Linked DNA regions of Danio rerio. The protein of the gene in region 2 purifies or fractionates together with the protein of the main gene of each other region. This does not show direct contact. Links are inferred from orthologs where the notes say so. Each region holds a gene or a part of one and is shown on either strand. Other genes may lie near its edges.

What was found.
Region 1: the proteins of pop7 (region 2) and rpp40 purify together in Homo sapiens (co-immunoprecipitation; 4 studies listed by BioGRID and IntAct, with this or other methods). This does not show direct contact. The link is inferred for Danio rerio from reciprocal best matches to the Homo sapiens genes POP7 and RPP40.
Region 3: the proteins of pop7 (region 2) and ibtk purify together in Homo sapiens (affinity purification with mass spectrometry; 3 studies listed by BioGRID and IntAct, with this or other methods). This does not show direct contact. The link is inferred for Danio rerio from reciprocal best matches to the Homo sapiens genes POP7 and IBTK.
Region 4: the proteins of pop7 (region 2) and rpp38 purify together in Homo sapiens (co-immunoprecipitation; 3 studies listed by BioGRID and IntAct, with this or other methods). This does not show direct contact. The link is inferred for Danio rerio from reciprocal best matches to the Homo sapiens genes POP7 and RPP38.

The regions. Positions count from the first base shown.
Region 1 is NC_133177.1:26,938,754-26,947,225, forward strand, and holds the start of rpp40 (ribonuclease P protein subunit p40), read left to right. Parts: upstream 1-3,696; 5' UTR 3,697-3,765; coding exon 3,766-3,882; intron 3,883-3,974; coding exon 3,975-4,119; intron 4,120-4,598; coding exon 4,599-4,667; intron 4,668-6,956; coding exon 6,957-7,052; intron 7,053-7,137; coding exon 7,138-7,263; intron 7,264-7,350; coding exon 7,351-7,549; intron 7,550-8,472. UniProt on the Homo sapiens protein: Component of ribonuclease P, a ribonucleoprotein complex that generates mature tRNA molecules by cleaving their 5'-ends. Also a component of the MRP ribonuclease complex, which cleaves pre-rRNA sequences.
Region 2 is NC_133182.1:21,868,543-21,876,085, reverse strand, and holds pop7 (ribonuclease P protein subunit p20), read right to left. Parts: upstream 3,886-7,543; 5' UTR 3,812-3,885; intron 3,451-3,811; 5' UTR 3,431-3,450; coding exon 2,984-3,430; 3' UTR 2,718-2,983; downstream 1-2,717. Other genes in the region: N(6)-adenosine-methyltransferase subunit METTL3, read left to right, coding at 4,270-4,372, 5,387-5,574, 6,435-6,881, 6,964-7,139. UniProt on the Homo sapiens protein: Component of ribonuclease P, a ribonucleoprotein complex that generates mature tRNA molecules by cleaving their 5'-ends. Also a component of the MRP ribonuclease complex, which cleaves pre-rRNA sequences.
Region 3 is NC_133191.1:5,090,374-5,098,335, reverse strand, and holds part of ibtk (inhibitor of Bruton tyrosine kinase), read right to left. Parts: coding exon 7,914-7,962; intron 5,570-7,913; coding exon 5,445-5,569; intron 5,358-5,444; coding exon 5,197-5,357; intron 4,881-5,196; coding exon 4,759-4,880; intron 2,547-4,758; coding exon 2,431-2,546; intron 2,349-2,430; coding exon 2,262-2,348; intron 453-2,261; coding exon 300-452; intron 1-299. UniProt on the Homo sapiens protein: Acts as an inhibitor of BTK tyrosine kinase activity, thereby playing a role in B-cell development. Down-regulates BTK kinase activity, leading to interference with BTK-mediated calcium mobilization and NF-kappa-B-driven transcription.
Region 4 is NC_133191.1:31,717,701-31,725,746, reverse strand, and holds rpp38 (ribonuclease P protein subunit p38), read left to right. Parts: upstream 1-4,371; 5' UTR 4,372-4,478; intron 4,479-4,595; 5' UTR 4,596-4,608; coding exon 4,609-5,406; 3' UTR 5,407-6,065; downstream 6,066-8,046. Other genes in the region: acbd7 (acyl-CoA-binding domain-containing protein 7), read right to left, coding at 129-191, 1,118-1,235, 1,864-1,875; nmt2 (glycylpeptide N-tetradecanoyltransferase 2), read right to left, coding at 7,728-7,748. UniProt on the Homo sapiens protein: Component of ribonuclease P, a ribonucleoprotein complex that generates mature tRNA molecules by cleaving their 5'-ends. Also a component of the MRP ribonuclease complex, which cleaves pre-rRNA sequences.

The DNA.
Region 1 (8,472 bases), on a different chromosome or scaffold from region 2:
TTTGTTGTTGAAGACCTTAGTATATTTACGAAGATTAACTAATAACGAACAACACTTGTACAGCATTTAGGCTAATCATATTTCGACATGTAATAACGCATCATTACATTTTACATTATACTTGCTAACGTTAATGTTATTATAATTATGCTTATTAAAATTTTTATGTTTTCCATAAAAATAAAACGTTTTTGAACTCAAAATGATTCTTCTATGGTACCAAAAAGAAAACCCCATTTTGTAACATTTAAATATTAATTTTAGGAGTCTAGAGAGTAAAAAGCGTTTATCCCTGCTTAAACAAATCACCACGTAATTAAAAAGTCAAGTAGACTTTATTGAAGGAACATTAAAGGATGTAAATAGTCAGGTAGTCTGAATCCTCAAGCTGTAGTTCTGTCCATCATTATTGTCCCAGTATTCTCCGTGATCAGTCCGACAATAAACTGCGAAATTCATCGACGAGTCTTGCACAGAACTGAGCGGCGCTTTCAAAGTAAAGTCGAACTGATCCCAGGGCAGCTCTTCTTCATTCATTTTCAGTGAAGCCTGTATATCCGCATAGGTCAGCCAGTTATTTGAAGTAAACCTGACTCCAACTTCCATTCTTCCTGCGTATCTCTGTGTAACTCTAATCACACCCTTCACTTCAGAAGCGGTTATTGAGACACTCTCCAGCGCGACTCCAAGACGGCGAGACTTCAAGTCAAACTCAGACAAACTCACGGGAAATTTAAAAAGCGGAAGTAACGTTACTCGCTGCTGAAGCTCTTGTATTGATGGAGGATTCCGAAGTGCAGATGTTTCATAGGCATCGTCAGAAAAGTGTCTGACGTTTTCCAGGTTCAGCCCCATCATGTCCGCAAACTGCACTCTCTTTCGATTGTGTGAGGAAGATTCGTCCTGATACAGATCTGCAGGCAGAGATTTGGCTCTTTGTCTGTCCATTTGTACAGTTTCAGGTGAAAAGCGTGACACCTGATCATATTTTGACGCGTGTTTTGGTTCAGGCAGAGCCTCGGTCTCGTTTGAAGGTTGAGTTTCCTCATTAGCGTTCATCATATTGAATGAGGCTGCTGTAAATGAGGAACAGAAAGCCTTTCAAATATAACAAAACTGGACCTGTAGACTTTGCGTAAGAAAGATGCTGGACAAATACTACGAGCGCATGAGTTGCGTCAAAGCAACGTCATCATTTACAAACACTTCGGTGATGCTGACCAATAAGCAAAATTGAAATTTAAAAATAGATAGCCAAGGCCTCTTACATAATCGGCATATTGGTTATTGAATAAATGAAATTAAATCAATATTATTATTAGTTATATTGTTATAAGGTTAATCTTAATTCTATTAGCTGTCTTTTGAAATATTTGCTATTCATTTTGATTAAATACACTGTTTTAAGAATAATTGTTTGATAATTTATATTTATCTCAGCCTATAAACGGATGGACAGTATGACGAAATAATATAGCTACTGAAATTCATCGCTTATAATACTAAAACTACTATAAACATAAAGGATGATAATAATAACAAGTCTTTTAAAGCCTCATATGTTACTGTTAACCTAGAAGACGTCCTGTCAATCATTGCCTATAGCGCAGAAACACGATGACGACATGCTGAGTGATTGTGCGCACATGTCAGGGGGAGCACATTTTTCTGCACGTGGATCTGTTTACACTTGATGGCGCAATATATGTATTCTGCAAGCAAAACGGCTTATTTCCTTAAACTGGACAAATATGTGTGCATCAAATATAGGCCGTTGACTGAAAGAGATGATAACATGTCAATGAAAAAAAAATCTATATTAAGAAATAAATACACATATATTTTTTTAGTTTGGGACCTTTTATTTTGTTGTTAAAGGGTGGTGGAGTTGGAAATGTTTTTATTAGATTAGTAAAAGAGGTGATATTGTATTCTGATGTAAAACACTGAGAGGCATTTTGTTTTGTTTGTTCATTTGTTTGCTTGTTGATTTATGTTATATCTGGTACATTGAAATGAGTATGTACATGTTAAAATATAATAAAAAGGAATGGGGGAAAATAACTAACAACGTCTAGTCTATTTCTAATAAATAATGGTAACAAATATAAAAGGATAAAACACCTATCAACTGTTGATTATGAAGTAAAGGTCGTTTTCAAAGACTCTTTTTTTATTAATATACGAAAATGAGAATATAATCACAGTATGTTAACAAGAAATCGAAGAGACAAAAAGAGCAACAATTTTGGAATAAGAAACAACAACAGATAACAAAAAAAAAAACAGGAGGGGTAAATACATTACAAGTTAAAGAAAAAGATTATATAATTTACAAATTTCAGTTGTTTTTAAAGCCTTTTTTGTAAAAGAGTTAGACACTGTTTCAAAGTAATACTGCATTTCAGTAAGCAAAATATAAAAAAAAGGTTTTTGGTTTGAAAATTTACATTTATGGATATAAAATTTTGTTAATAAGACAAGAAGATTAAGAAAATATTTTTTCTTTTTATGTAAAGTCCCCGTTCCATAATCAACAAAACCAAATAAAACATTCTCCCACAGCAAGGAAAATTCCTCATCAACATTCTCAATTATAAAAAGTGAGAAGTCTTTCCAAAGCAACCTAGTGTAATTGCATTGCCAAAATAAGTGAACCAGGGACTCAGGGTGCTGCCCACAAAATGAACAATTAATATTAAGATCTTTTTTATATCGTACTAAAAGAGTATTGACTGGGTATGTACGGTGAATAATTCTGAATGAAACTTCTTTTATCTTATTTGTAATTAAGTAGTTATTTGGGGTGAGCCATATTTTTCTCCAATCAATATCCGAAACAAAAGAATTCCAATAAAAAGTAACATTTGGAACTGATACAGTTCCATTATAAAAAACGTATTGTTTTGTTTGAAGAAGTTGCAGAGAAACAACATTTTCCAATCATTGTAGTAGAAGGGTCTAAAAGAGGTAAAACAGAAGGATAGGGGATGCCTTGGAATAATCTAATAACACCAGATGGTATAGCATCAAATACCACAGCAAATTCTTTAGGGGGGATGGGTATATTGAATCGATTAAGAAATTCGTTATAATTTAATAAATGGCCATTTGAGTTAAATAATTGACTAACAAGCAGAATATTTGCTTCAAACCAGCGCTGAAAGAAAAGAGATTTGTTTTTATATACAATCTTTAGGTTGTTCCAAATAAAATATTTGTGAGGAGAAAAGTTGTGCTTGTATAATAGTGACCAGGCAAGAAGAAATTGTTTATGAAATTGAGATAATTTAGCTGGTATTTTCTCAACATTATAGTTACAGAGTAATAAGAAATTAAGCCCTCCAAATTTAGAAAATATGTAATTTGGAATAAAATTCCAGATTGAGGTTGGATTTTTGAGAAAAATTTTCCCCATTTAATTTTGATAGTATTATTAAATGTACAAAAATCCAGCATATTAAGACCCCCATTCTCAAAGCTATTCATAATTACCGATTTTTTTATATAATGGATACAATTTTTTCCAAATAAAATTAAATAATATTTTATCAGTTATATTATTTTATCGTTTTCAAAGACTCGCGAACTGCTGCTCGAGTTCTGCTGACAGCAGGAACTGACGTCAAACCTTTGCGACAGGCGAAGTTGCCACTATTTTGAAACATTAAACAGGCGCGCCGATGCAGTTTAGTGTAATAAACTCGTTTCTTTATTTCGCTGCTTGATGTAACAACAATGTAAGTATTTTGTACAGATATTAAAATGTCGCCAGAGCTGGAAAAGTGCCCGAGAAACCTGCTGGTGTGCGAGAAATCAAACTTCTTGAATGAAAAGTCTCGGCATGACATCCACGTGTCGAAGCACAGCTTTAACTACAAGGCAAGTTTCAACACGAGACATGTGCTCAGCATAGCGACTTTGATTGTAAACATTGACCGTGATGGTTTACTAAGGGAATGCGTTTCCCGCAGACCTCAGTGCTGATTCCTGAATGCGGGATCCTGCCTGCTAACATCAGCAGTGCCTTCAGCAGCTTCAGCCCTTATTATTTAGTGCGGGACCTGCCTGTATATGAACTGCTGGAAGAAACATTTCTGGAGTCGCTCGTGAAGAAAGGTTCAAGAAATGTCCATTGCTAACGTTTTTGTGTAATACGCTACATAACACGAGCTAAAGACGTATACAGCATTGGTTCATTTCAGATTGTTTCAATGTGTATTAATCCAGAGCTGTTTGTTCACACTAATACTAATAATTAGAATAATAATACACACATTAGTCACATACTGTATATAGAACACAACATATAGAAACATTGCATGCATTGTACAACAATCACAAACAACAAGACTAAAAGTCTTGCAAGTGAGATTGTGAGCAATAAGATGATGGCAGCTGGACTAAACAGTCTTAAACAGTTGTGACTTGTAAGCTTGTGAACTAACATGAGCAAAAACAAAAGGTAGCTATTTTATGTTTACTAACATTAAAGTTAACAATGCTGAAAAAGAATTATTTCTTATTTTTAGCTAAAGTGTTTATGTGAATGTAAGAATCTGTTACTGATTTTTATTTATTCATTTATTTTTACACAGGACATTTCTATGCACTCTCTTACAACACCAAAATTGATGAAGATAATTCCATTGCACTTCTTTCCAGTGGTAAGACATGCACTTGTGCTGTGATTCTAACAAAGCTGCTTTATTTTATTGAACTGAGTTAATCAGGTTAATTCATTCAGTACTTTAAATGACTTTAAATTTGTCTTGCAAAGAAAACCAATAATATGACAACAAGATGACATTCAGACAACATAATATTTTATCTTTATAATTTAATGGAAAGAAATAGTTTTAAGAAGTTAAAGATAATAAAATAAAAATGTAAAATCTGCACTCATCTGCATGAAAAGAATAAATAAAATCTTTCAAACAGAACAAACGAAAAATGTTGAGTACAACAATATCAATTTCTGTAACAGTTTTTAGGCTATATTTTTTTTCGAACAAACCTCCGTTATACAATAACTTGCCTAATTACCCTAACCTACCTAGTTAACCTAATTAACCTAGTTAAGCCTTTAGATGTCACTTAAAGATGTATAGAAGTGTCGTGAAAAATATCTAGTCAAATATTACTTACTTTCATCATGGCAAAGATAAAAAAAATCAGTTATTAGAGATCAGTTATTAAAACTATTGTGTTTAGAAATGTGTTGGGAAAAAAACGGGGAAAAAAATAAACAGGGGTTGAATAATTCTGACATCAACTATATATATATATATATATATATATATATATATATATATATATATATATATATATATATATATATATATATATATAAGCCAGTGATGTTCTGTAATCCAAGCACTGCGTTTATTATTAATAAACAACTCTATAATACACGCTTTTGCTTATTTGTGGCATTCTGAGATTTTTTATTCTTATCTGAGCATCTTTTTCCACTTTATGTCACTTTTTATTGATTATATTGAAATTGAAATGCATTACTTATCAATTAAACACTGTCAAGTGGTTTCAAACTTTGCATTTGTTGAAGACAAAAGAAAAACTTTTTTTTTAAATGCCTGAAACTGGTAGCCAGTGATAGGAGAAATAAATGCGCTAGAAGGCAATGATTACAAGTCGTCAACATTGTTTATAATATCTTTATTCATGTTCAGTAGAAGAAATAAACTGAAACGGGTTTGGAACAAGTGAAAGCTGAATGATGACAAGAGAAAACAGAATTGTCATTTTAGGGTGAACTGTAACTTAACAGTACCATATATTGCTGGTATTGTGCAAAATCAACAGGCCAAAAACATACATATTCCCTAAAATAAGTAATTGTTTTTTTATTTAAACAAATAAATATATTAATGATGTATTGACCTTATTCCTCAATGCAGAAGTGTGCTTGTTTTTGGGATTGTTTTAGAACTTCCGATTCAGTTGCCAATGGTAGAAATTGTCATTTTTGGGTGAACTGTAACTTTACAGTACCATATATTGCTGGTATTCAACAAAAAAATCAACAATGTAAATCAACAGGCTGAATATACATAATCCCTAAAATAATTCATTGTTTTTTTTTTATAAAAAAAAAAAAAATAATGGTTTATTGACCTTATTCCTCAATGCAGAAGTGTGCTCGTTTTTGGGATTGTTTTAGAACATCCGATTCAGTTGCCAATGGTAGAAATTACTACGAATAATAAATGACAAAAAACAGTCAAACTACATGCTCTACAAACAAGTGTGTTCATGACTATGCTGACAAAGCAGAATAATATAATAAGACAATATCAGTGTTCAACATTAAGCAGCAGAATGTTGTTTAAAGTCAATGGAAGTGATTGAGGCCCGAAGTTTCGAGCCAAAAAGACGGCACCCCCTTGTACACGAAAAATAAGGTGAATATGCACAGCTAGTGTTTTTTAACCCCCAATAAATGCCTAGTGAAGGCTATATGTGACTGTTTTAAATTTCATACAGTACCTTTTACAGCATTATGTTGTAATGTAATTAAAATATAATCAGTTAAATAGACTTAAGTATTCATTTAGTTGTTCAAGTGGAAAATGCACAGAGCACAGGTCATGAACACAGAAACACCATTGAAAATACTGTGGTAAAAGAAATGTTCTTATTTTAAAGTCATGGCACAGGACAATGGAATTGAATGCAGTGCTTCTTGTACAGTCTAAGACCCACTTTATATCGTATTTCAGTCAGGCAGTAAAGATTTTTAAAGATAACACCTTAAATGCGGTGATTTTGTAACACCATACTGTTCTACGGAAATCAATTGAGCTGGGTTACAAAAAAATTAAAAGTCCATCTGCATTAACCCTATTTGGTTTAATGATTTGAAAATGTTATTAATAATTCCATATTATAAAGTTTTTAGTATCCATGTTGATTTGCCACATTTCTCCCCCCAGGTCAGTTCATTTTGTCTTTAAATAAAGACACGTACGAGCAACTTGGCTTGGAGGGCCGACCATCCCAGTATAATCACAGAAAGGCTCTGAGATTTGGTAAATTTCTTTACTCTGAGCAGCATGAAATGAACTACTATTCATTAAACAGTATTACAATTCTTCAATGTCTTTATTTTTGTAGTTGTGACTCTTGACCTCACGGATAAAAGCTTGGCTCCAGGCACCAAACGATACCAGCGGGTTCTGTCATCTTTAAAAGACAGACTTCCACTCAAATATGACTTTCTTTTCACCAAGTACAACACAGGTTTGTAGGGAATGCATTATTACCATCACTGGCTTTTGTGATGGATTTTTCATTTGCGTTTGCTGTTTGTATTCTAAACCTTATCAGGTTCTGATGAAGACGAAGTTCTTCATGCGCTGCTGTCCCGTTACACATACAAGGAGCACAAGCCTGTTTTCAGCCAGCACATCCTGAAAAATATTCAGTGTCCCACACTTTACCCATCGGATATACAAGGAAAGACGCTGTCATGTGACCCACATCGTTTCTTGGAGTGGCTTGGAGCAGTTAATCTGGATATTAATTGGTGAGTGAGCTTAGAAATAATTTTAAAGACTAAATGCACAGAAACCAGTCATCGTGTCATGATGAGTTCTTGTATAATTGTCTTCTATTGTTTGTTGAAATCTTATTTTCAACTTCAAGTCAGATGTTGCTTTGTTTCCAATCAAATTTGTAAATTTTAACAGGAAAAAATGGAATATCATCTTATTCAATTGATAGTTGACCCCAAAGTGAAAATTCTGCCATCACTTACTCCTCCATCCTCCACTTGATCCACTTTAGTTTTTTCCTCTTCTGCTGAACATGGTGGAAGATATACTGAAGCATGTTGGAAAAAACAGCCATTGGCTTCCATAGATTATATGGGTTATATACAGGGCTGGAGTGGGACTCTTTTTCAGCCCTGGAGTTTCAAGCCTTAGACCGGCCCACCTCTGTTCACCACTGACTATATTAAAATAAGGTCATTTTCAATTCAGTTTCTAATTACACTATCAAGTCTTTTTTTGAGAAAACAGCTGTTTTAGAACTTCAAATGTTCAACAACCCTTACAGTATTATATGTCTTATCAATAAAAATGGAAAAAAAAAAATTATCCCCCAGACGAGGTCCGAACCCGGGTTGGTGGTATTAACCACTGTACCACAACAGCTGTACACTGAATGGTGACTTATCTAGGTATATCAACATTAACCTGCAGGCTAAAAAGATAAAAAGATTAAAAGAGCAGAGCTGCGGTAAAATAATGAATAAGAAGGCTGTGGTCAAGTAAATAAATAAATTATTTTTAAAAAGTGTGACTGCTGATAGCAACAGATTCTGGAGCTAGGAACACCGGCCCTCGCAGCCAACAAACTGACCGGCCCACCGGGAATTCTCCCAGTCCTCCCGATTAGCCAATCCGGGCCTGGTTATATAACTATATATATATATATATATATATA
Region 2 (7,543 bases):
TGTGTGTGATTTTTGAGAATGCTGAGAATGGATGTGTCGGACGTCAGGAGAGGATGGTTGTAATTCTGAATTCTTACGGGTCATTTGGGGTGAACAGGATGAAGGGCTAGATTGCTGCTAGTGTCGAGCGAATTGGAAACTTTCGTGCGAGCTGATGAGGCTCATGTCCGAAACACGCCGATGAGTGTGGCCTTGTACAGATAACACCGCTGCCAGGAAAAATATTGATTAGCGTATGACGAACATCCTGGCTTACTTCCACTTCACGCACGACGCTGCATACTTGCCTTTGGGAAACGGTCGTAAGGTTGACATTTTGTTGCTGTTTTTCTGGACTTGTTTGTAGTCTTTCGTAAATAGCCAGTTTTTTTTACATCTGTCAATCAGTCAGTCTGAATGCAACAAAGTATGTTTGTAGATGTTTTTTCCTGTTATTTTGCTGTTTTTGTGGTTCTTTCATCACAACGCTGTTTGGTTTTCAAATACACAGTATTATTCTTAGCTACAAACATAGTGAAAACAAGAAGAGTGGAAGTTTTTGTCTTATGAAGCATCTCTAGTGAGAATGAACCAAAACACTGTAAATACATGTGATTCCAAAGTGTATTTGATATGAAAGCAAGTACTTTTTTTTAGCTATTATGGAGAGGAATATAGGCATACATTATGCCTAAGCCATAACTGGATTATAAAATAAGTAATGGATTTTTGTCATGTTGTTTCTTCTGATGGAGTTTAGTCACACCACTAAATATTTTTGAACACATCTTTGTGTCTTTTTATTCACCTTGGCTTGTAGTTCTGGCCATCAAGAATGGCTAAACAAGACTCGAATTACTAGTCTACTTCTGAACATCAACAAAGCATCCATTGTAAATAACCATTGCCAAATATTTCAGTTTAGAGGACCATCTATAGGCGAAAAGAAATTTTGAGAAAAACAAAACAGCTCATTTTCCAATTATTTCTAAGATTTATTATTATTGTGGATGGCTCAGTGTTTAGCTCTGTCACCACAGTTAGTATTTCTCTGTGGAGTTTTCATGTTCTCCCCATGTTAACAAGGGGTTTCCTCCAAGTGCTCCGGTTTCCCCCACAGTCCATAGACATGCAGTATGGGAACTGGAAAATGAATTTGATGAACTAAATTGGTTGTTTTTGTGTGTGTGTGTGTGTGTGTGTGTGTGTGTGTGTGTGTGTGTGTGTGTGTGTGTGTGTGTGTGCGGATGCTTCCCAGTACTGGGTTGCGGCTGTGTGTGCATCCAGTCTAAAACTTATGCTGGAAACGTTGGTGGTTCATTCCGCTGTGGCGACCCCTGATAAATAAGGGACTAAGCCGAAGGAAAATGAATGAATTATTATTATTATTTTAAAATATTTATCTTAACAATGTGCCTTTTATTTACTTTCTATCGTTTATACCTTTAGTGGCCCCTTTATTAGGTACATCTTGCTTCTTCGTAACGCAAATATCAAACCAGCCAGTCACATCACAGCAGCTCAGTGCACTGAAGCATGTAAACGTAATCCAAAAAAATTCAAATCAGACTTTGCCGATTCAAGACAGTCTGGTCTGAGAATTTCAGTAGCTGCTGATTTACACAAAACCATTACTAGGTCTGCAGAGAATGCTTCGAAAAAGAGAAAACACCCAGCAAACACCAGTTGTGTTTGCAAAAATGCTTTGTTTGAGGCCAAAAGACAGAGGGAAATGTCAAGACTGGTATGAGCTCATAGAAAACAGCAACTCAAATAACCACTTGTTACAATCCGTATCTACGGATAAGTGGATCTATTCTGCCTCGATTCAGTAGTTCAGGGTTTTGTGCAGTAAAATGGTGTGGCTAATATTTTCTTGGGTGCTTTAGTAACAATTGACTATCATTTAAACGCCACAGCCTACCTGAGTATTGTTGCTACTCATCTATCTGTAACCACAGTCAATCAGTGTTGTAATGGCTACTTCCAGAAGGATAATACCTGGTAATATGCTAAATGCATCCATCATAAACAGAAATGCAATGTGGTCAAAGAGAAATCGATGCCTTTTTTAAGCCAAAAGGGAGCCTAACATGGTACTGGCAAGGCTATTAATTAATTATTAAAATGCATTTATTTTTCCTATTAAAACTAAGATAGATTTGATGAAAATGTTTAAATGTGTGTGTGTGTGTGTGTATGTATGTATGTATATATATATATATATATATATATATATATATATATATATATATATATATATATATATTTATTTATTTATTTTTATTTTTATTTATTTTTTTTTTTTACCTTTATTATATACTGGTTTGCCATCATTATATTCTTATTAATAGGACAGTTCACCCAAAAGTGAAAATTTACTCACAATCACTTGGTTTCATACCTTTATGAGATTCCTCTTTCTGTTGAACATTAAAGAAGATATTTTGAAAAATGTTATAATGTTGTAACTATCGACTTCCAAAGTAGAAATCAAACACTATGGAAGTCAATGGTCACAGTTTTGTAAATTTTCTTCTTATTTCTTGTTCAACAGAAACAAAAACTCAAACAAGTTTCTGACAGGTAAAGGGATGAAGAAAATTATGAGAGAATTTTCAGTTTTGGGTGAACTATCCCTTTTATAAAATTAATAATAATAATATCTAAAATATATTGTTGTCTTAATATGCATACACATGCAGGAAGATACAATCAACAAAGTGTTGGTGGGGCTGTTTACTTTGCATTTAAGCTGTTTACTTTCCATTTAAGTTTACTATACACAAGAACACAAATACATAGTAGAAAAAAATACATATGGCACATTTCTTTCTTGTTTTTCAAATAAAACATTCAATAACACAGCAATTAATTAAAAAAAAAGTCTTGAAGCAGAAAAAAATCATAAATAATGCATCACTTTAAAAAACTTCTACATGCCACTAACGTCATACAATTGTTCATGAAGCCCTCATTCATTATATTGACACTGAAGCTGAAACTACGGATTGGGGTAAAACACCTTGATATGGATGGCCGAGTTATTCCGGGTACGGGTCAGATGCTCTCCGGCCTCGTCCGGATCTTCAGGCTCCAGGTCGTCGATGAGCTCCACCGTGGAGGTGTTTGCGGCGAGTTGCAGGGCGCCCTGGCTGGACGTCTGGAGCTGCAGAGCGATGTTTATAGCCCGGTTGATGGCCAGTCCCAGGCCGTGGATGCAGATTTCCCTGTGAGCGTCCAGAAGTTTCTGACACCTCGCTAGCTGAGCCTTGAAGTCAGTCTTCATGTTGACATAGACGTCGTTCCTCCGTTTGGGCAGTTTGCGAGGCAGTCGCTTGCGGAGGGTGAACTCTATTGGGTCCATCTCAAGGGTCGAGCCCTCGGGGGCAGCCAGGACTATTGGATTGTGGGGCACAGAAGCGGACACCGGGCTTCGTGGCTCAGCCATGTCGAATCACCTGAAAGGTGCTGCACAAACAGAACATTAATTCGCGTTTTAAAGATAAGACTCGTAACAATTTTACATATAAATGATGTGTGAATTATATTTTAACGACATGTATTTAAACGATTCCCCACAATGAACCGACTCATATGAATCATCCATTCGTGAATGGCTATATACACTGGGCGTGCATTATATTTCAGGGTATAACGCTGTATATTAAATAAGATATTACATCCACATCACATTCGAGAAACATTTTGTTTACGAAGCAGGTTCTCATTTACACAAACATTTCCAATTCATTGCCACTTAAGTTAGTGGATATAGATTTTAATATATAATGTTTGATGTATAATTTGGGATTTTGAGTAAGAGTAGTACCTTGAATTAGAAGAGCTTGTTTCAGATCCGCGCTTAATTCCTGGTAGATAAAGAATCTGCTTATTTACAGATCTGTCTTATCTCTCATTCCGGAAGACGTCTTGCGTACACTGGAAGTAATACACTATGTGATTACAAAATACATACTGTTCTTTTCTTGGTGGGGAAATATCTATTTTTATTTCGTATATCAAATAGTTATAATTGAATCCTAATTAAAAATATATATGAGTTAAAATACGTAAAAATATAAAAGTACCTGTATGAACGAGATCGTTGCTAATCAGTAAATATAGTTAGTGTCTCTTATTTTGAAAATAGAAACAGTTTAGCGGCACGGTGTGTATGGTGGTACAGTCACTCAGCGTTAGTTTGCTAGATGTAATCTAAACTTCATAAAACCCCTGTTTAATCAGTACTGTTTGTTTATTTGCTGTTTAGCTCGTTTAATTTAAGCCATGTCGGACACATGGAGTCACATCCAGGCGCACAAAAAGCAGCTGGATTCACTACGAGAGAGGCTGCAGAGGAGAAGAAAAGACCCAACTCAACTGGGCACTGGTGTGTTGAGTAATTTTACATTATCTGATATCTGAAAAATAAAATGTGTATTTTTAACTGTTTGTGTGATATGTAAAAACAAAGAAGACAGTTTTATGATTTTTATTATCATATCACTTTTTAAATGTATTAAAAATTGTAAAACATCCAGGGCATATCTTTATCGTTAACAATAAAATAAGAGATAATGATGATATGTACAGGCAACGTCGTGAGTTGTATGCTCAAGCAAATATGTAGGTGAGAGAACGTTATGTATTAATAACAGGTTAAGATAAGTCCCTTTAGAGCAAATTGTAATTGTTTTTATACAGCTCTTTTGTGGTTTTACGTTTAGCTGAAAGAGTCTCCTTAAGCTGCAGGTTGTGTAAAATGACTATGAGGATTGTGCTTCATTTTTTTATTATTCTGTTAGGCAAGAGTACAACCATTCCCTGCTTTAATGACAAATGTGATGTATGAATTTATTTGTCAGCTGGAGAACATACATAACAATATGTTGTTGACAAATCCTAGACCTAAAGATGTTCGATATCAGTCCTCTGTGAGAAATATTAGCGTAACTGTTATTTTTAATGTATAATGTATAATTAATGTATCATTTTCAATGTAAAATTATATAACTTACTATTTTCCCAGTGTTGTGTTGCAGCTAGAAGGACATCCCGCTTCATTCCGCTGTGGCGACCCCAAATTAATAAAGGGACTAATCCGAAAAGAAAATGAATGAATGAATAATTTACTGTTTTGCATGTTATTGTGTGTTTTCTTTCTTTTCTTGTTTTATTTGCTAAACATTAAACTACCTTTGTAAACCACGTTTCTGATATAATCAGATTTATTTACTTGAATTCAAATGCTAAACGTGGAAATATCTAATACTATCAGAAGTGTACTATCAAAATGGTAAAAACATTTGAATGTATGCTAAAAGAAAGTTCAGCGGTGTCGAAATAGTGAGTCTATGATGCCACCTGCTGTATGAGAATTTCCTAACAGTTCTTATTTTAACAGAGGTTGGAAGTGTTGAGAGTGGATCTGCAAGAAGTGACAGCCCGGGACCAGCAATTCAGAGTCCTCCACAAGTAGAAGTTGAGCATCCTCCAGACCCAGAGCTAGAGAAGAGGCTGCTGGGATACCTCTCTGAACTGAGCCTTTCCCTGCCAACTGATTCCCTAACGATCACCAACCAGCTAAATACAGTAAGAGCTGTGTGCACTAACAGCTATGAATCTGAACCCATATCTTTTTATTATTATTATTATTATTATTATTATTATTATTAATAATATTATTCCACCCTTTTTTAGAATAACTGTTAGATTGTCAAAAAGTGTTAAAGGAATACTACTCTTTTTTTTTTTTTTTTAATAGACTCATTTAACAAGACCCCAAGAGTTAAACTGTTACGATTTTAATCATAGATATCTATGTGGAGCACTTTTAGCTTAGCTTAGCTTAGCATAGATAATTGAATCAGATTAGACTATTAGCATCTTGCTCAAAAAAAGTATTTTGATTATTTTCCTATTTAAAGCTTGACTCTTCTGTAGTTACATTGTGTAACAAGACTGACAGAAAATGAAAAGTTGCTATTTTTTAGGCTTATTAGTCTAATAAATAGCATTCTGGCATAACAATTAACAAACTTTACTGTTACTTTTATCAATAGTGCTGTGTAATGTCATTGCGCCTGCTGCGTCCATGGTACGACAGTAAAATTCTTTTGATTATTATGGCCGAATGAGAGTATAGTTCAGAGCCATATCCACGTCTTGGTGTTACTAGAGAAGTAAAGCTTTAATATTATCGAAGTTATTGACATTTATTTATATATTTAAGTTTCAAACAAGACGCTAAGGGTCTAATTTAATTCAATGATTTATGCTAAGCTAAGCTAAAAGCAGCCAGACCCAGAGAATGACTGAATTGATTCTTAAAACTCAACTGTTTAACTCTAGGGGAGCTGATAAATGAATCTATTTTTTAAAAAAGTGGTTTCTATTAAATAAATTGAGAGACTCAAATATGTTTGTGATTTCTCTTCAATTTTCATTCACAGTCTGAGTCTCCAGTTTCCCATTCCTGCATTCAAAGTCTCCTTCTTAAATTTTCTGCTCAAGAGCTTATTGAAGTTCGGCAGCCATCCATCACCTCCTCTTCGTCCTCCACCCTCGTCACGTCAGTCGACCATACCAAACTATGGGCTATGATTGGCAGCGCAGGCCAGTCACAGAGAACTGCCGTTAAAAGGAAAGCAGACGACATCACTCATCAAAAAAGAGCCCTGGGCTCCTCCCCTTCGATTCAAGCACCGCCTTCTCCTCCAAGGAAATCCTCAGTCTCATTGGCTACTGCCTCAATCTCGCAACTCACTGCATCCTCTGGGGGAGGAGGGGGTGGAGCTGATAAAAAGGGGCGGAGCAATAAGGTGCAAGCATCTCACCTGGATATGGAGATTGAAAGTCTACTGAGCCAGCAATCCACTAAGGAACAGCAAAGCAAAAAGGTATAATAATGAAGCAAAACAGCATGCTAAAGCCACTGTGATTTAAATGTTTGCGGTGTATTTATGTGTGCTTGTGTGTCAGGTGAGCCAAGAGATCCTAGAGCTGCTGAATACCAGTTCAGCAAAAGAACAGTCGATTGTGGAGAAGTTTCGCTCACGAGGCAGAGCTCAAGTTCAGGAGTTCTGTGATTATGGAACCAAAGAAGAGTGTGTGCAGTCGGGGGACACTCCTCAGCCCTGCACCAAGCTGCACTTCAGGTCAGTTCACATTAAAGAAGAATAAGAATAATGATGAATATAAATGATAACCATTCAAAATTTAAATATATAAATATAATAATAATTACAACAATACATTTAGGACTTAAATTTATATTAAATAGTGAAAGATTTGACAGTACACTAATTTTTCAATTCTGTTTATCCACAGTACCGACTTCACAATATTTTATAGCTTTCATAATAGTTTATTTTTAGTGATTAATTTTTCAAAACATATGGTAAATGCTTATTACAATGGTTTATATTGTTTTATTTATTTAGTGTTTGTTTGTCTGTTTGTTAATAGTTTTTACACCAAAATCTAAATATTCATGAATTTGCTTTGCTAAAAATAAGGAATTATATTAGACGTGTATTTGTGCACTTGTCCCTGACTGCAT
Region 3 (7,962 bases), on a different chromosome or scaffold from region 2:
AATTACAAAAACTAAGAAAAATATCAACATGAGATTTTAAAATAATAATTAAAAAAAATGTTACACTTTAAACTATTTGCTTACATACCATACTTGGATCAAACTATATTTTTAATGCATAGTGCATTATGATTTTATCTTAATTCTTAAATGCATTAAGTAATATTGTGCATTAATAATTATCTGTATTTGGCATGGAACTAATAATGTTACCAAAATATCACTACAAGGTTTAGAAGATGCTAGAACATTTAGCATTAATACCAATTGGAAAGAGAGGAAATGGTCAAATCTCTCACCAGGTTTTCACAGGTTTGATGGGCGCAGCAGGCGGTGGTGATTTGGCAGAGACGCTCTCAGTGCTGCCCTCTCTGGACGCCTGAGCCAACATCTTCCTCTGCTTCTGGGACAGTTTACTGGGAATGATGGAGATCTTGCTGCTGCTGCTCGATCTGGAGTTCATGCAAACAATATGTAGAGAAAAAGAGCGGGGGGAAAATAGATAGATATTAAAGTTTACTTTCAACAGGCTTTCTTAAGCCACCATAGATTATTTAGTTTGAAAAAGTATCAAGTTGGTCAAAACCAACATAAATTAAAAAGCATGTTACATTATATTATAACGCATGGATTAGCATATTGTAACACAATTCTGTTGTTAGCGTGTTTCCAACATGAGTCTACATGATTTTAATATAAATAAGCATTGTTAGCATGATTCCAGCATGAATTAGCATGTTGTTAGCATGCTAATTCACGCTAGAATCATGTTTACTATGGTTACACATGAATTAATCTCCAGTTTTTAAACAGGCTATGGATTAAAGCTAACAATATTGTAAATAATGTTTAATTCCACTTCATTAGCTTGAATTATGGAATCATAACCGTTGGATTATGAATCTAACATGAATTAGCATGTTTCTAACATGAATTGACATGTTGTTAGCATGTTTCTAGCTTGAATTAACTTATTGCTAAGATGTTCTGGCAAGAATTAGCATGTTGTTAGCATGTTTCTCCAGTCTTTAGACAGGCTGTCAATTCAAGCTAATAATATTGTACAAAATGTTTAACTTCACTTCATTAGACCTTCATTAGCATGTTGTTAGCATGATACCAACATGAACTAGTATGTTGTAAGCATGTTTCTAGATTGAATTATCTAGTTGCAAGGATGTTTCTGGGATGAATTAGCATGTTGTTAGCATGTTTCTCAAGTCTTTTAACGGGCTGTTAATTAAAACTAATAATATTGTACAGAATGCTTAATTTCACTCCATTAGACCCTCATTAGCATGCTGTTAGCATGATTCCAACATGAATTAGCATGTTGTTAGCATGATTCCAACTTGAATTAGCATGTTGTTAGCATGTTACTCCAGTCTTTAGACAGGCTGTCAATCAAATTAATAATATTGTAAATAATGTTTAATTTTACTTCATTAGACCTCATCAGCATGTTGTTAGTATGATTACAACGTGAATTAGCATGTTGTTACCATGTTTACAGTTTGAATTAACTAGTTGCTAGGATGTTTCTGACATAAATTAGCATGTTGTTAGCATGTTTCTCAAGTCTTTAAACAGGCTGTCAATTCAAGCTAATAATATTGTACAGAATGCTAAATTTCACTTCATTCAACTTTCATTAGCATGTTGTTAGCATGATTCCAACAAGAATTAGCATGTTGTTAGCATGATGCTAGCTTGAATTAACTTGTTGCTAGGATGTTCTGGCATGAATTAGCATGTTGTTAGCAGTTTCTAATTTGAATAAACATCCTTTTCCAGTGATGGGTTGTAGCTGGAAGGGCATTCGCTGCAATAAACGTGCTGGATAAGTTGGCGGTTCATTCCGCTGTGGCGATCCCTGATTAATAAAGAGACTTAGCCGAAAAGACAATTAAATAGACCTTCATTAGCACGTTGTTAGCATGATTCCAACAGGAGTTAGCTTGTTGTTAGCATGTTTCCAGTTTGAACTAGCATGCTGTTAGCATGTTTCTAGCAAGAATTAACATGTTGCTAGAATGTTTCTAGCATGAATTAGCATGTTGCTAGCATGTTTCAAATGATTCCGTGTAAACTATCATGACTAACACGTGTCATAATAACACAATATGAGAAGATTTCCGCAATAAGCAGTTTAGCTGTCTGAACCAGACACATGACAGATTTGGGTTTGCAGTCACAGCTCTGATGTTCATGCAATATTTACGAATAACTCATAGCCCCCTCATCAACTATTCCCCACTAACCCGCTGATGGCTTTAGGAGTGGCGCCCAGATTCAGAGAGTTCGCCTCCATCTCCATGATGGCCCTGAGGTCCAGGACAGGAGCTGGTCTGGAGACACAGAAACATTCAGAATAACAGCGAAACAGAGAGGGAGTCTCTGCTTCTTGCTGTGAGAGAGAAGTTCAGTCACCTGGCTTTGACCGTAGGGATGTGTTCAGGAGTGGAAGACTGGACAGGCACAGGGCCGTTCTTCAAAACAGGGGTTCCCGGAGGAGTCTTCAGTCCTGCCGGTCCACGTCTCTCATCCTGCCAACATGAATACATAGAGTTCAAGTTTGTTTAATACAGGGGTTTTCAACTGGTTTGGCCATGGCACCCACATTTTTACATGGTCATCAAGCCGCGACCCAAATTTTTAGGAATTATAATATGATTTTAGGAATTATAATTCATTTGTATTTAATTGTTAACATACACAACTAGTGACAGATAAATTTTGAGAAAATCACCAAGACTTACAAATAAACAATATTTTATTGCTCTCATTTAACAAAATGTATCAAATTATAGAAATATTACAGAGTAAAAATGTCAAATACTGTAAACAGTGGTTAGTGTACGGAAAAGTTCAGTTACCATTAACTAAACTGAACTGTTTATAAAACATTAACACTGATCTGGTTGAACTGAACAGAAACCAGCAAACTGAAGTAAAATTATTAAAATAATCATAACCATTTTATAATAATCAGCAGTTATTTGCTGTTCTGCTTTTGTGTGGGCTTTCTTGGCCTTTGCTACACGGTGAGCACAGTAAGATGTACTTGTACTAGTTTTGAACATGAATATGTTCGGCACTTTTGTGATGCCCTCAGCTACTAGAGTCGTCTTAGAAAATAACCCACTGGTTTTTCCTTGCAACTGGGATGTTTGGTTTCTAAATGTCGTTTTAATTTAAGTTTCATTTCTCTCGTGAAAGCACCTCACTACATATGACACACTGAGGTTTAAAGCCTTTTTGTCGTGAAAATATTTAAATCCACACTTTACATATTCGGGGTCGTACTTGCGCTGGAATTTCACATGTCAAAAGGGTATATGCGGAGCTAACGTTAGTGTTGTTCCCATACTGATAAACTTCCGGTGACCTGTTATTGTGAACTTTTTTTCCCATTTTATACGGTTCCTTTTACATCATCGATGTTGTAACGTCATTAAAATACATTCATTTAGTTGCTCAAGCGTAAAACGAGAAAAAAAGCCATTTACTCGTACACGCCCCTCAGAATCAGCAGGCTAGCGCAGAAGCTCCATTAAATATACTGGGGTAAAATAAATGCTCATATTATAAAGACATGGTGGGGGAAATGTAATTTAATGCAGTGCTTCTTGTACAATCTGAGGCCCACTTTATATCGGATATCACTCAGCCAGTGGAGATCGCTGATTTTTAAAGAAAACAGACCTTAAACTCGCCGGTTTTTGCATTGCAGTTCGCCAAAAGCGCTTAACCAAGGTTACTGGCAAATAAAAAAAGTCCCACTTAGCATGCTTCGGCACGCGCATTTCAAAATAAAAGTCCGATATAAGTAAAATAAGTTAAATAATAAACTTTTGTTGTTTTTTTGATCACACACTCCGCGACCCACTCAAAATGTTCCCGCGACCCACCAGTTGAGAAACACTGGTTTAATACACTACCTGAAAAAAGGCTTGTCATTGATCCCAGTTGTAAGAGCAACAAATAATAACTTGACTTCTAGTTGATCATTTGGAAGAGGTAGATTTTTCCCATGAATCATCTGTTGAACAGCATCTCAATCATCACTAATACTGCAGAAGAATTACTGGAACCAGCATGGACTGCCCATTACATTACAAACCACAGGAGAGGGACAATTCTCCAGCAGGATAGCGCTCTTTCTCATACTTCAGCCTCCACATCAAAGCTCCTGAAAGCAAAGAAGGTCAAGGTGCTCCAGGATTGGCCAGCCCAGTCACTAAACATGAACATTATTGAGCATGTCTGGGGTAAGATGAAGGAGGAGGCATTGAAGATGAATGCAAAGAATCTTGAAAGTCCTGCAAGAACGCTTTCTTTGCTATTCCAGATGACTTTATTAATCAGTGATTTGAGTCATTGCAGAGATGTATGGATGCAGTCCTCCAAGCTCATGATGGAGTCAGACACAATATTCATTCTGTCTCCACTGCAGCATGACTTTATATTCTATACTGGACATTATTTCTGTTCAGTGACGACTTTTGTCCAAGCAAAGTCAGACCTTACTGTCCTAATTAAATCATTTAAAGTCAAGGTATCTTGCTCTAGAGTCCTTTGCCTTTCATATAAGCCACTTCTGATAGCAAATGATCAACTAGAAGGTATTATTTGTTCTTAAAACTTGAATAGGCGACAAGACTTTTGTCAGGTAGTGTACATTATAGCTTGTATTTATACGGGTGGGAAGCAATGAATGCATGTTTATAAATGAGACCCCAGGTGTGTTGTGATCACCTGAAAGACCGGAGACTGCAGGTCTCGAGGACTTCCCACAGCCATATAACTGCCCTCAGAGTCAGACATGATGAGCTCCTGCAGAGAGTCTACTGAGCTGGCCTTCACTGAATTACCCAAACCTGCGCAAAAAAACAATCATGTAAAACATACAGCATACAAACTAAAAGCATTTCTATTCAGGAATAGGCCTGTACAAATGACGTTTGTGTGCGCTGCAGATCATTAACTCTCAAAGATTAACTTGTATAAATGAACAGTTGAAGTCCTTATTAGTCCTCCTGATTTATTAGAACTAAAAATTCAGCTAAAAACCTAGTTTCTACTGAAAGAAAAACAAGTCACCCATAACTTCAATGGCCTGAGAGTGAGTGAACTAACAGTAAATGTTCTTTTTTGGGTAAACTATCAATTCAAGACAAGATTGAGCAAGTTAACCTGGAGTGGGCGGGCTCTGAGTGACATAATTAGGAGGGCTCTGGATGACGTCGTTAGGAGAGCTCTGGATGATGTCAGACAGGTTGTATCCACCAGAGCTGTCGGAGCGGCGCCGCGGTTTCTTCTTAGCCCTCATCTTGGCCTTCTTTAGCAGACTTTCACTAGATTAAACACAGTGAACACTCTGTATACAGATGAACAGCTCTACACAGACATGTTTCAGTGTTTAGGAAGGGTAGATTTCACACCTGGAGTGATCGGCTTCAGATGTGCTTTTACAGTCCACAGCGGAGTCCCACTCTTGGTCCTCGTAGGCGCTGAGATCCGGAGCGTCGGCATACGGCGTGATCAGCCGTCTCTGCATGGCTGGGATCTGAGAGAGCAGACTGAGGTCAGGATTTCTGAACAGAGCTTTTAAGGGCCGGGACACACCAAGCCAATGCCAAACAACAAGCTCCAACAAAAAGCAACCGTGTTGTCTGCTTGCGTTTGGCCCTGTCTGGAGCAAACAGATGCTTGTGAACACACCAAATGGACCGCAGCCAACCGAAACAAGAGCATTAAGATTTTTTTCCCAACACATTTCTAAACATAACTCATTTCTAATAACCGATTTATTTTATCTTTGCCATGATGACAGTACATAATATTTGACTAGATATTTTTCAAGATACTAGTATTCACCTTAAAGCAACATTTAAAGGCTTAATTAGGTTTGTTCTGTAGACTATTTGACTAGAAATATTGCTTAAGAGGGCTAATAATATTAACCTTAAAATAGTTTTATAAAAATATTCTAGCCAAAATAAAACAAATTGGAAAAAAAAAAATATTATAGGAAATACTTCCTTGGGTAAACAATTTTGAATGTGTATTTCCGCACTAGATATCTGTTCTCTCATTCCGCAAAAGAAAACAGGAAGAAACACAAAGTATAAACAAAGCAGTGTTTATTACTTTTGTAGCGTTTACTACTACTATCGTCACCGTTATTGTCACACATCATGGAGGGACTGGTTTATGCAATATCTAATAAATATTTGAGAAATGTACAGCTGGTCTCTTTGTGTTCTTTCTTTATTTTATATGTTTACAAGCTACACCTCTTTAGTTTTTTGATCTTGTTATTCAGCAACCAATCAGAGTGCTCTCTTCAGCCAACAACCGAAGCTGATTCTACACATAGATATATACATTAGATGTCGCCTGGCCTATTGTTGTCTATTGGACGGAATGAGTCAATAGCACCGCCATCTTGGTACAGGGTAGCGCTCCTTTAAAATGAATGCAGGACCAAGGTTCAGTGGAGGACTGTGGCCATCCAAAGCCAGAGATATACACATATATCTATGATCGGGAGCTTTCCTGGATGTTAGTATGTAATTTTTTTTTCTAATTAGGAAAATTATAATTTTACATCACTTTTCTACATTGATGGATCAGTGATCGCACGGGCATTCCTGACAAAAAGCTTGTGTTTGTGTGTACAGAAATGTACTATCCACCCTGCCTGTTTAATTTGATCTAATCATGTCCTGAAACACAGCTCCTCTCCTGCTTTCACTTCTCATACTGAAGGAGGGAGCGATTCGTTTGTGAATGAATCCCCCGAACGACTCTTTCACTAACGTTAGCCGACAATAACACAAGTTTCTGGCAGCGCAGCATCTCATTGTCATATTTCTTTTGCATTGTTTGCTGATTTTATTCAACAAAACTAGCATAAGCCGAGTGTTTAGTGCGAGTTGGAGCTACTTTGCCTTATAGTGAATGCAGTGACTGTCATCATCAATAACGTTACCTGATTAGCACAAAAGTTCAGAACATACAAAAACAGAAAAAAACTTAATATTACCTATGAAATGTTCTGCCTTTGTGCGTTGTTTTCTTTGTTTCCTCATTACTACACCTGTAGACATCGCTAAAGTCCCGCATCTTCACGTAATAACACTGTCTTGACTAGTGCGGTTGAATGATATTTGTCCTAGGAGCACTGTACCAATGTGGCGGCGCTATTGACACATGCTCAGGGTCCCTATGCGATATCTAGTGTATATATCTATGGGTTCTACATGCTGAATCGGGCCAACTCGATCCAATGTTATCCCGACTAGAATCAACATGTGAAACACACCAAACACACTAGTTAGAGAAATGCTTACAGATGGCCCAACAAAGCTCATGACCAACTGTTTGGCTTGGTGTGTCTCGGGCCTTTAGGAACATTCCACGTTTTTTTTTTTTAAAAGTGCCCTTTAGTTAAACAGTTTTACCATTGGATGGTAGAGTTTTACCATTTTAGAATCCATTCAGACAACCTCTCCGGGCCTGGTGGGAACACTTTTAGCTTAGCACAAACCATTGAATCTATTTAGACTATTAGCATCTTGCTCCAATAAATAAATGAAAGAGACGACAAGATTTTACTATTTAAAACTCTTCTGTAGTTACATCGTGTACTAAGACCAATGAAAAACGAAAAGTTCCTATTTTCTAGACCGATAGAGTTAGTAACTAAACTCCTATTCCAGTGTAATAATAAAGACTATAGAATACATAAGACATGTCACTCATATAGTTTGAATGTGGAAAAGTGTAACAATCAAAATGGCAAATTAACTTCTGTCACTTAAAGCTAAGATACCTTGATGGCGATTAAATCAATGGATAATTTTCATTTTTGGGCAAACTAACCCAAAGTAAGGATTTGAACTCACCGTTCTTCTGTACGCAGCCGCTACATCCACGAGGACGTCATCGCTCAGG
Region 4 (8,046 bases), on a different chromosome or scaffold from region 2:
AACACATAACCCACATAACCCACATAATCAGGTTAGGGACAATTTCTGTTCAAATAAATGGTTATACATCTGCTATTATAACAGATATTATATAATAATAAATATTTTTAACAGTGTTTATTCATTACCTTTCCTTGAATCCCATGCATCCCATTTGGCTTTCCCTTTCAAATCGATCATCCCAGGTTTATCTACACAAAGCAGAACATACACATTCAGAATTATTGGCAAGGCAAGGTTATATCACATTTAATACACAATGGTAATTTAAAGTGCTTTACATAAACAAGGACAAAAGAAACAAGAAAATAAAAACAACAAAAAATAAAACAGATTTAAAACAGATAAAAAACTGATTAAATGTGTTAAAACAAGTTTTAAAGCAATGAAAAGTGAAGAAAGACATCATATTATTAGATTCAAATGTCAAGCTCAGGAAGATGACGCTGGTGCTGTCCTGTCACATCTATGACTTAAAATGTTTTCTTTATTAATTCCTTTGCTTATCAGAATGCAGGAACATTTACTACATAAACACACAAAAATCATGCATTGAACAGGTTAAATGGTCCTGAAAAATAAATAAATAAATAAATAAAAAAATCAAAGACATTTTATGTTCAACTTTATAAATGTGCACATTAGAAATGATTTGGAAACTAAATTAAACAAAATTTATAATTAAATTAATAAAATAATTAAAAATAATCAATAATTTGCAACTGGAAACCCACTTACACATTGACATAAATTATTATTATTATTTATTGTACTTTGTTGTACAACAAAAGTACAACATTGTTGTATATGTTTTTTTACAATATTTTAAAATAATATTCTTGTGTATTTTTCATAACAATAAACTTATAAATGGAGTAAATAAATAATTATTGGAGATAAACTACTACATAAATATAGTTTTCTGTGTGTGTGTGTGTGTGTGTGTGTGTGTGTGTGTGTGTGTGTGTGTGTGTGTAGAAATGGAACAACAGCAAAATATGAGACCTCTTAAAAATTCTCAGTTTATCTGCAACTGATGGTTTAATTTAAAATATTTGGATTTATATAATATGGATTTAAAAACAAAACCAAACAAATCAAATTAATCGGTTCCTACCAATATTAATATCCCCAACAACAGCTTGTTTGTAGAGGCCGTACAAATCCAGCAGCTCCTGGTCTGTAGGTCTGGTCTTGACTTTCTTCACATCCTCTGCATATTGATCGAATTCTGCCTGTAGCCACAAACATCATGACTTCAGCGTTAATTCTCATAATGCTTATCTGCTGGTAACAACTGCAAAAAGCTTGGTAGGTCTGACCCATTTTGCCCCACTAAGCACTTCCTTAATCACTTTGCATCGTGTATTATTCGCGCACTGTATGAAGCCTTTTGTTTTATTGCCACAATGAACTAATAGTTGCATGTTGCCAACATTGTGCCCTTTGTACCATTATAAACCTACAAGCTATGGGTTGCCATGTTGAGGGCCAACTCCACAAGACTCTAATACAAAACGAACAATTTGTGTATAAGATACGCATAGCGCAACTTCATACTAAAGCAAAGATGAGCGACGAATGACGTAACTCACTGACGAGTGCACATCCAGAAGCTGCAGATAAAAAATCTACGTGTGCAATACAAATGCTAAAAGCGTATTCATATAAATATAGCATAGCCTTGTGCATATGCAGCAGAATATGATACAGCATTATAATAATACACCGCGTCATCTTTAAAATCCTACTTATATTTATCCAGCGGTTGGACTTTAAAGAATATCCAAATAGTTTGGATTCATGATTCGTATCTCAATATGTGCAATGGATGTGATATTATAGGAAAGAGCAGTTATGTACCTTTAAAGTCATTTTCTTAGGCGAGTGTTGAGCGGCTGTGATGTCGGCTTGAGCGTAGCGTAGATGCACTGATGAATCGAGTTTACGGTGACACCGCTGTGGGAGAGAGGAGCTGAGCGCTGATTGGCTGATGGAACATCCGATGGTGAGACCCGCAGATTGTTCATCATTTTTAGGGTGAACGCATTTATTACTCATTCGCTTGCACGAACAGCAGGTTTGCGTAACATGACAAATAAAATTATGCATTCAAATGGATTCGAATTAGAATATATTTAAATATTATTCTGAGTAAAAGCAACTGTGAAAATAACTATAGTAAAATCGTGTCAGGCAAAATTAGGAGAGGAATTATTTGATTACAAATTAGCCTCAAAAATGTAACAGCAAAAGTGCTATATAAATAAACATGAATTGGACTAAATAATATTGACTGTTTCATTTTTATAGCTATATATTTTTATATTTTACCTCTCTAGGTATAAAATAATTTTGAAAGTCTAATTTCAAATAAATTAAAATATAATAACATTTAATATGATCACTTATTCATTTAATATGATCACTATATGTATATATTTAGGAACAGTATAGAAAAAAATTACACTCAACATTTATTTTCACGTTTTTGTGGCATGATTTACAAAACAGTCACTTTATTTGTATTGCCTATGACTCATAATCATAAAAGGTAGATCATGCATTACTTTATGAAGTTATAATTTTCCAATTAGAACATTTGTTTCTGAATTAAATACTTCAATTTTAGATAAAAAAAAATACAATTTAAAAAACTCAAATATACACCAATGCTGTTAAAAAAATCCCTAGAAAAAAACAACGGCTCATTATTTTTACCATGATTTACAGGAGACACTAAAATGTTATTCAGACAGTCTATTTATTATAAAAAAATGTTGTTACAATTATTTTATGACATTAATTGTCTTATCAATTACAATTCATTTGATTTTTAAATGGTTATATTTACTATTATTCTTCAAACCTCTTGGAAATAGAGGAATAGCAAAATTGTAATCTTACATTTTTAAAAATAATTTTATGATCACTCATTCTTTTATATAATTACAGTCCAGAGTAAGTATGCTGTTTCATTTTTCATAATAATATCCATTATCCCAAATGAGAATAGAACATTTTCCCGTATTTCAACATTGATTTTAAAACAAGTTGATTTTAAAACTTTATTTGCATTCTGTTTTGTGAATTTAATATGATGCTGATATCAAAATGGGATGTCCTGCCTTTGACCCATAATCATAAAAAGAGAGATCATATATTCTTTGCTTTATGACCTTATTATTTAGGTTTAGAGGAGATACTAAAATGTCATTCAGATGGTGTAACCTCCTGTAAAAACAAATCTTGTCACAATTATTCAATGACATTTTAAGTCTAACAATAGTTTTATATATATATATATATATATATATATATATATATATATATATATATATATATATATATATATATATATATATATATATATATATATATATATATATATGTAATAAAACAAATATTGTTACAATTATATGATGACATTAAAGTCTGATTGTGGCTAATTGTGGATCATTAAGTGCATTTTTAAATGTCTAGATTTACCCATAATCCTTCAAACCTCTAAAAAGGAAAAACGAAATTCCATAAAGGAATAAAAACATGTAATCTTCAATAAAATATGATATTATTTGTTTTAACAGACTAGAATAATGCTGTTTAATTTTTCATAGTTATAAACATTATCCTAGATTACAACAGAAAATTAAACTACATTTCAACATTTATTTTCAAAGTTGTTTCGTAGCATTACCATGTAGTCACTTTATTTGCATTTTTTTTTTTGCAAACTAAATGATGCAGATACCAAAATGAAACATCTTGCCTTTGACTCATAATGATAAAAAGGTATACAGATCATATACTCTTTACTGCCTTTTTTTACTAGCTTATTATTTTCAATTTAGTCCAAACAATACATTTATCTCTTAATTAAGTGCTCATCAGTTTAAAACAAAGCAATCACTATCAATATTAATATTTATTAATCCTCACTAATATTATTATTAGTCACTGATTTCATGCTATCTATGAGCTGTTACGTTTATACGATTTTTAAATTGAAGGCTTGAAAAACATTAACAACAAATGTCATCAATAAAACAACAACAATCCAGGGGTTTTCAGTCATTTAGTCCAAGATAAGTTAAAAGTCCTTCATCAAAGTCTGTTCGTATTGCTTTTAAGTTTGTTGATCCCGCAATACACTCAAAATACATTTTCATTTCAATTTTGAATTTAGGAAAAAAAGGTTTACACTTACAAAACTTGCTCTTATAAATATGAAATTTGGCCAAAAAAATCAAGGTGTTTATAAGATTTATAAATGGTCTGGCCTGACTGTTTACGTTTATGACAAATTACAACCGAAAAGCTCTTTCGGAAACATTCACTAGATGGCAGTGTGTGCATTACAAACCCTGAACTATTAACCACAGAAGAAGACCTTCAATAACAACATGTCTGCACACACAACTTAGTACACGCTGTAGATGTTGAGCTGAGGAAATCTTCATTTCTGGCTAGTTAATTAGGTTTGTATATCATTTTTGCTGTGTCTTCTTGGTTGTTATGAATACTAAGTTGTTTATAGGCTACATGCCTCGTTGAGTTTAACGTGATTTGTAATGCTAGTTTTTGAACATTTCAAGCTTTCCAGCAATAATGTCGACCCCAGCGAAAGGAGCAACGAAGAAAGAAAAAAAGAAGCCGATACCAGTCAAAACATCCCTGAATAACCCGTACAACATTGGCTGGAGTGACCTCTTACAAAAACAACACAAACATTTAATACTTGACACTCTGAAAGAAAAATTATCCGCCACCGGGCTTCGGAAAGAGCGTGTCAGCCGGTTTCGCGATTGGGGAAGCAGAAGGAGGTCCAGAAAAAAGGCATCAAAACCCACCGAAGAGCAAAACCCAGCTTCTGAACCCGCAGAGAGCGTGCAAACCCCCGAGCCGGGCTGGACCAATCTGGCCCTGAGGAAACAGCTCGCCATCGGCATCAACGAGGTCACCAAGGGCCTAGAAAGGAACGAGCTGAGTTTGGTGCTCGTGTGTAACTCGGTCACCCCAGCTCACATGACGAGCCATTTAATCCCGCTGAGTAAAACCAGGTCGGTGCCCGCCTGCCAGGTACCCGGTTTGAGTGGAAGCCTGTCGGAGCTGCTCGGCCTCAAGTGCGTCCTGGCACTGGGCTTCAGACGCGGGTCCGAGGAGTTCGAGAATACGGTCCGCGCCATCACACCGATGGTCCCACAGCTCCCCGTGGCGTGGATTCAGACAGACTCAACACCAACAACCAAAGAAAAGCGCACAGAAATCGGACAGAAGAGGAAACTAGAAGAGCTGTCGAGTGATGCATCTCCTTTGGTTCTCCAGCCTCTAAAAGTAAAGAAAATCATTCCGAATCCAACGAAAATTAGGAAACCCAAACTGAAAAAACAGAAAAAAGTTGTTTAACCTGCATTCTATGAATGAAGAATGTGTAAACACGTTTATTATATTTATATTTTCAATAGTTTGTGATGATTTTGTGAGTGTATTTTACATTGTGATTGGTGGACTGTCATATTTGATGGTCTTTAAGAAAGCTGATCATTTAAAACTACACAATTTTGGCATTTGTAAAGACACCTTTTTTGAAATTTGGCAGATACTTTGGGTATTCTTACCACCAGAGTCGTTAAATTCATAAACCACTGAAGGGGGAAAGAAGTTTAATGTTAATGTTGAGTGAACCATTATAGGTTCACTTAACATTAAACTTCTTTCATTTTTTAAGACAGGGCTGTCCAAACTCTGGGCTGGTGTCCCGCATAGTTTAGCTCCCAACTTCCACACACCTGCCTGAAAGTTTCTAGTATACCTAAACCACTTGATAAGCTGGTTCAGGTATGTTTAACTGGGGTTGGAAATGAAGTATGCAGGACACCAACCCTCCAGGACCGAGTTTTGACACCCTTGTTAAGATAATTCTTCAGAATCTCAAAAAAAAAAAAAAAAAAGAAAGGCCTTTTTCTTAACTTCAATATTTGCTTAGGCTACTAAATACTTGGCTTGGACACACATTTTTATTAAGTATATGTGATGGTTATGAAAAATAAAAAGCCCCAACTGAGTAGCGTTTTACATTTTGGATGCTTTTATTCAGTCAAATATCCATGCTGGTATACCTTGATGTATATTATTTTTGACAATTAGATATTCGGGTGGACTGTCTTGTTTGACATGGTGCTGGTACTTGTTCCCATCAGTTCCATCCTGCAATGGAGTTCAATAAAAATACTGTCTTCAGAAAGAGAAAGCTGATCGTTTAAAACTACACAAGTTAAACGTTTAAAAAAAAACAACCTCTCTGAAATAAGGCAAGTACTTTAGGTGTTCTCACCATAACCCATAAATTCAAAAAACCATACAGCTCGAGGGGGGAAAAGGATTCATGCTCAGTTCATTCAGCAAGCCTTAGAAAAAACATATGCAAACTGACATTCGCAAAAAAGTGCCCTTGATGACGTTATTGAACGAAACCACTGACTGAAATGTGCGACTTTGAGAGGAGTACCTTTCTTTTGAAGCCTGACTGGACGTGCGCTTATTTAAAAGCAAATTGTAGATTCAGAAACATTAAAGCAAACCATGAAAGCAAAACCAGCTTCTGCTGAAGAATAACGTTCACATTAACGTTCATTAAGCTTCATCAGTGATTGTAACTGAAACAGCAAGCAAGCTTTCCTGACCGCATCACCAAAAGCATTAGGAGAAACGCTTATATCAAAATGAAAACGCACATATGATTGTTCAGCTCTTCTTGTGCTTAAAAATAGCAAAACGATCAGGACCTGATCGAGAAAACGCACCAGTCAAATGAGGTTATGGTTCACTGCAAATACTGAGAGAGCAAAGAAAGTGGAGAATAAAATGTAACAAGTAACTTAAGCACAATTCTAAATATCAGAATTGTTTAGCTAAAATGATGATTTAGAAACACTAGATGGTAAAGAACAGAAACGAGTGGGGGAAAAGAAGCTAACAATCATGCCTTCATGAAAAAAGAAATGGAAATGAATTCACATTCAAAATTCGAAATGTTTCTTTTGGACACACAAACCCTAAAACAAAACATCATATTCTTACAAATGCACCTCAGAGCAGTCCGGCCCTTTTATAAACAAGTTGATGTTGTGCTTCAAAACGCAATACATTCCTCCACACGTGTAACCATTTACTCGCTCCGCAAACAGACAGAAACTCAGAATGCTGTATGAATTCAAAGGCAGCTCCATACAAAAGACTTTGGATTTCGACCCATGTTCCTGTTCCGTTGTAAACCTCACAATACGTAATAAATATCTGGCATTAAATGTACAGCTTGCTAATTCACACAAATGTATCAACACTCCTTCATAGTACAAAACAAATGAACAAAAAGACAAAAACCATGGGAATAAACATGTTCTGAGAGAGGAGACAGATTGCATGTTGAGGAAAATAAACACTACGGTTGTGTATGTGTGTGTATCTGCATGTGTGTGTATGTATGTGCAGCTTGTAGATGTGTTTGACCTTGATAAATGTTTCTCACATTCTCAGAAAGAGAGTCAAAGACAAAGAGAAAGGAGGGAAAGCCCTCAGGAACTGGAACAAGACCTAAGAGAGCTGCACAACAGAACTCATTCACTTTGAATGGATGTCAGTTTTTCCTCTTTATATCGATTACGTCCAAGTCTGAGAATTCAAGGTGGACCTCTGAAATCAGTCGGCATCCAACAAGCAGCAGCCAGTTACTGTAAAACAAGGCCAACCTGCGGAGCATGGAGAAGAGAGTTAAAACACACTCCTATGATACTGATTTTGTATGGCATTTGTATGGCATAACCTACTCACTGGCCACTTTATTAGGTACACCTGTCCAATTGCTCTTGTAACGCAAATTTCTTATGAGCCAATCACATGGCAGCAACTTGATGCATTTAGGCATATAGACATGGTCAAGACGATCTGCTGCAGTTTAAACTGAGCATCAGAATAGGGAAGAAAGGGCTGGTCTAAGTATTTTAGAAACTGCTGATCTCCTGGGATTTTCACGCACAACCATCTCTA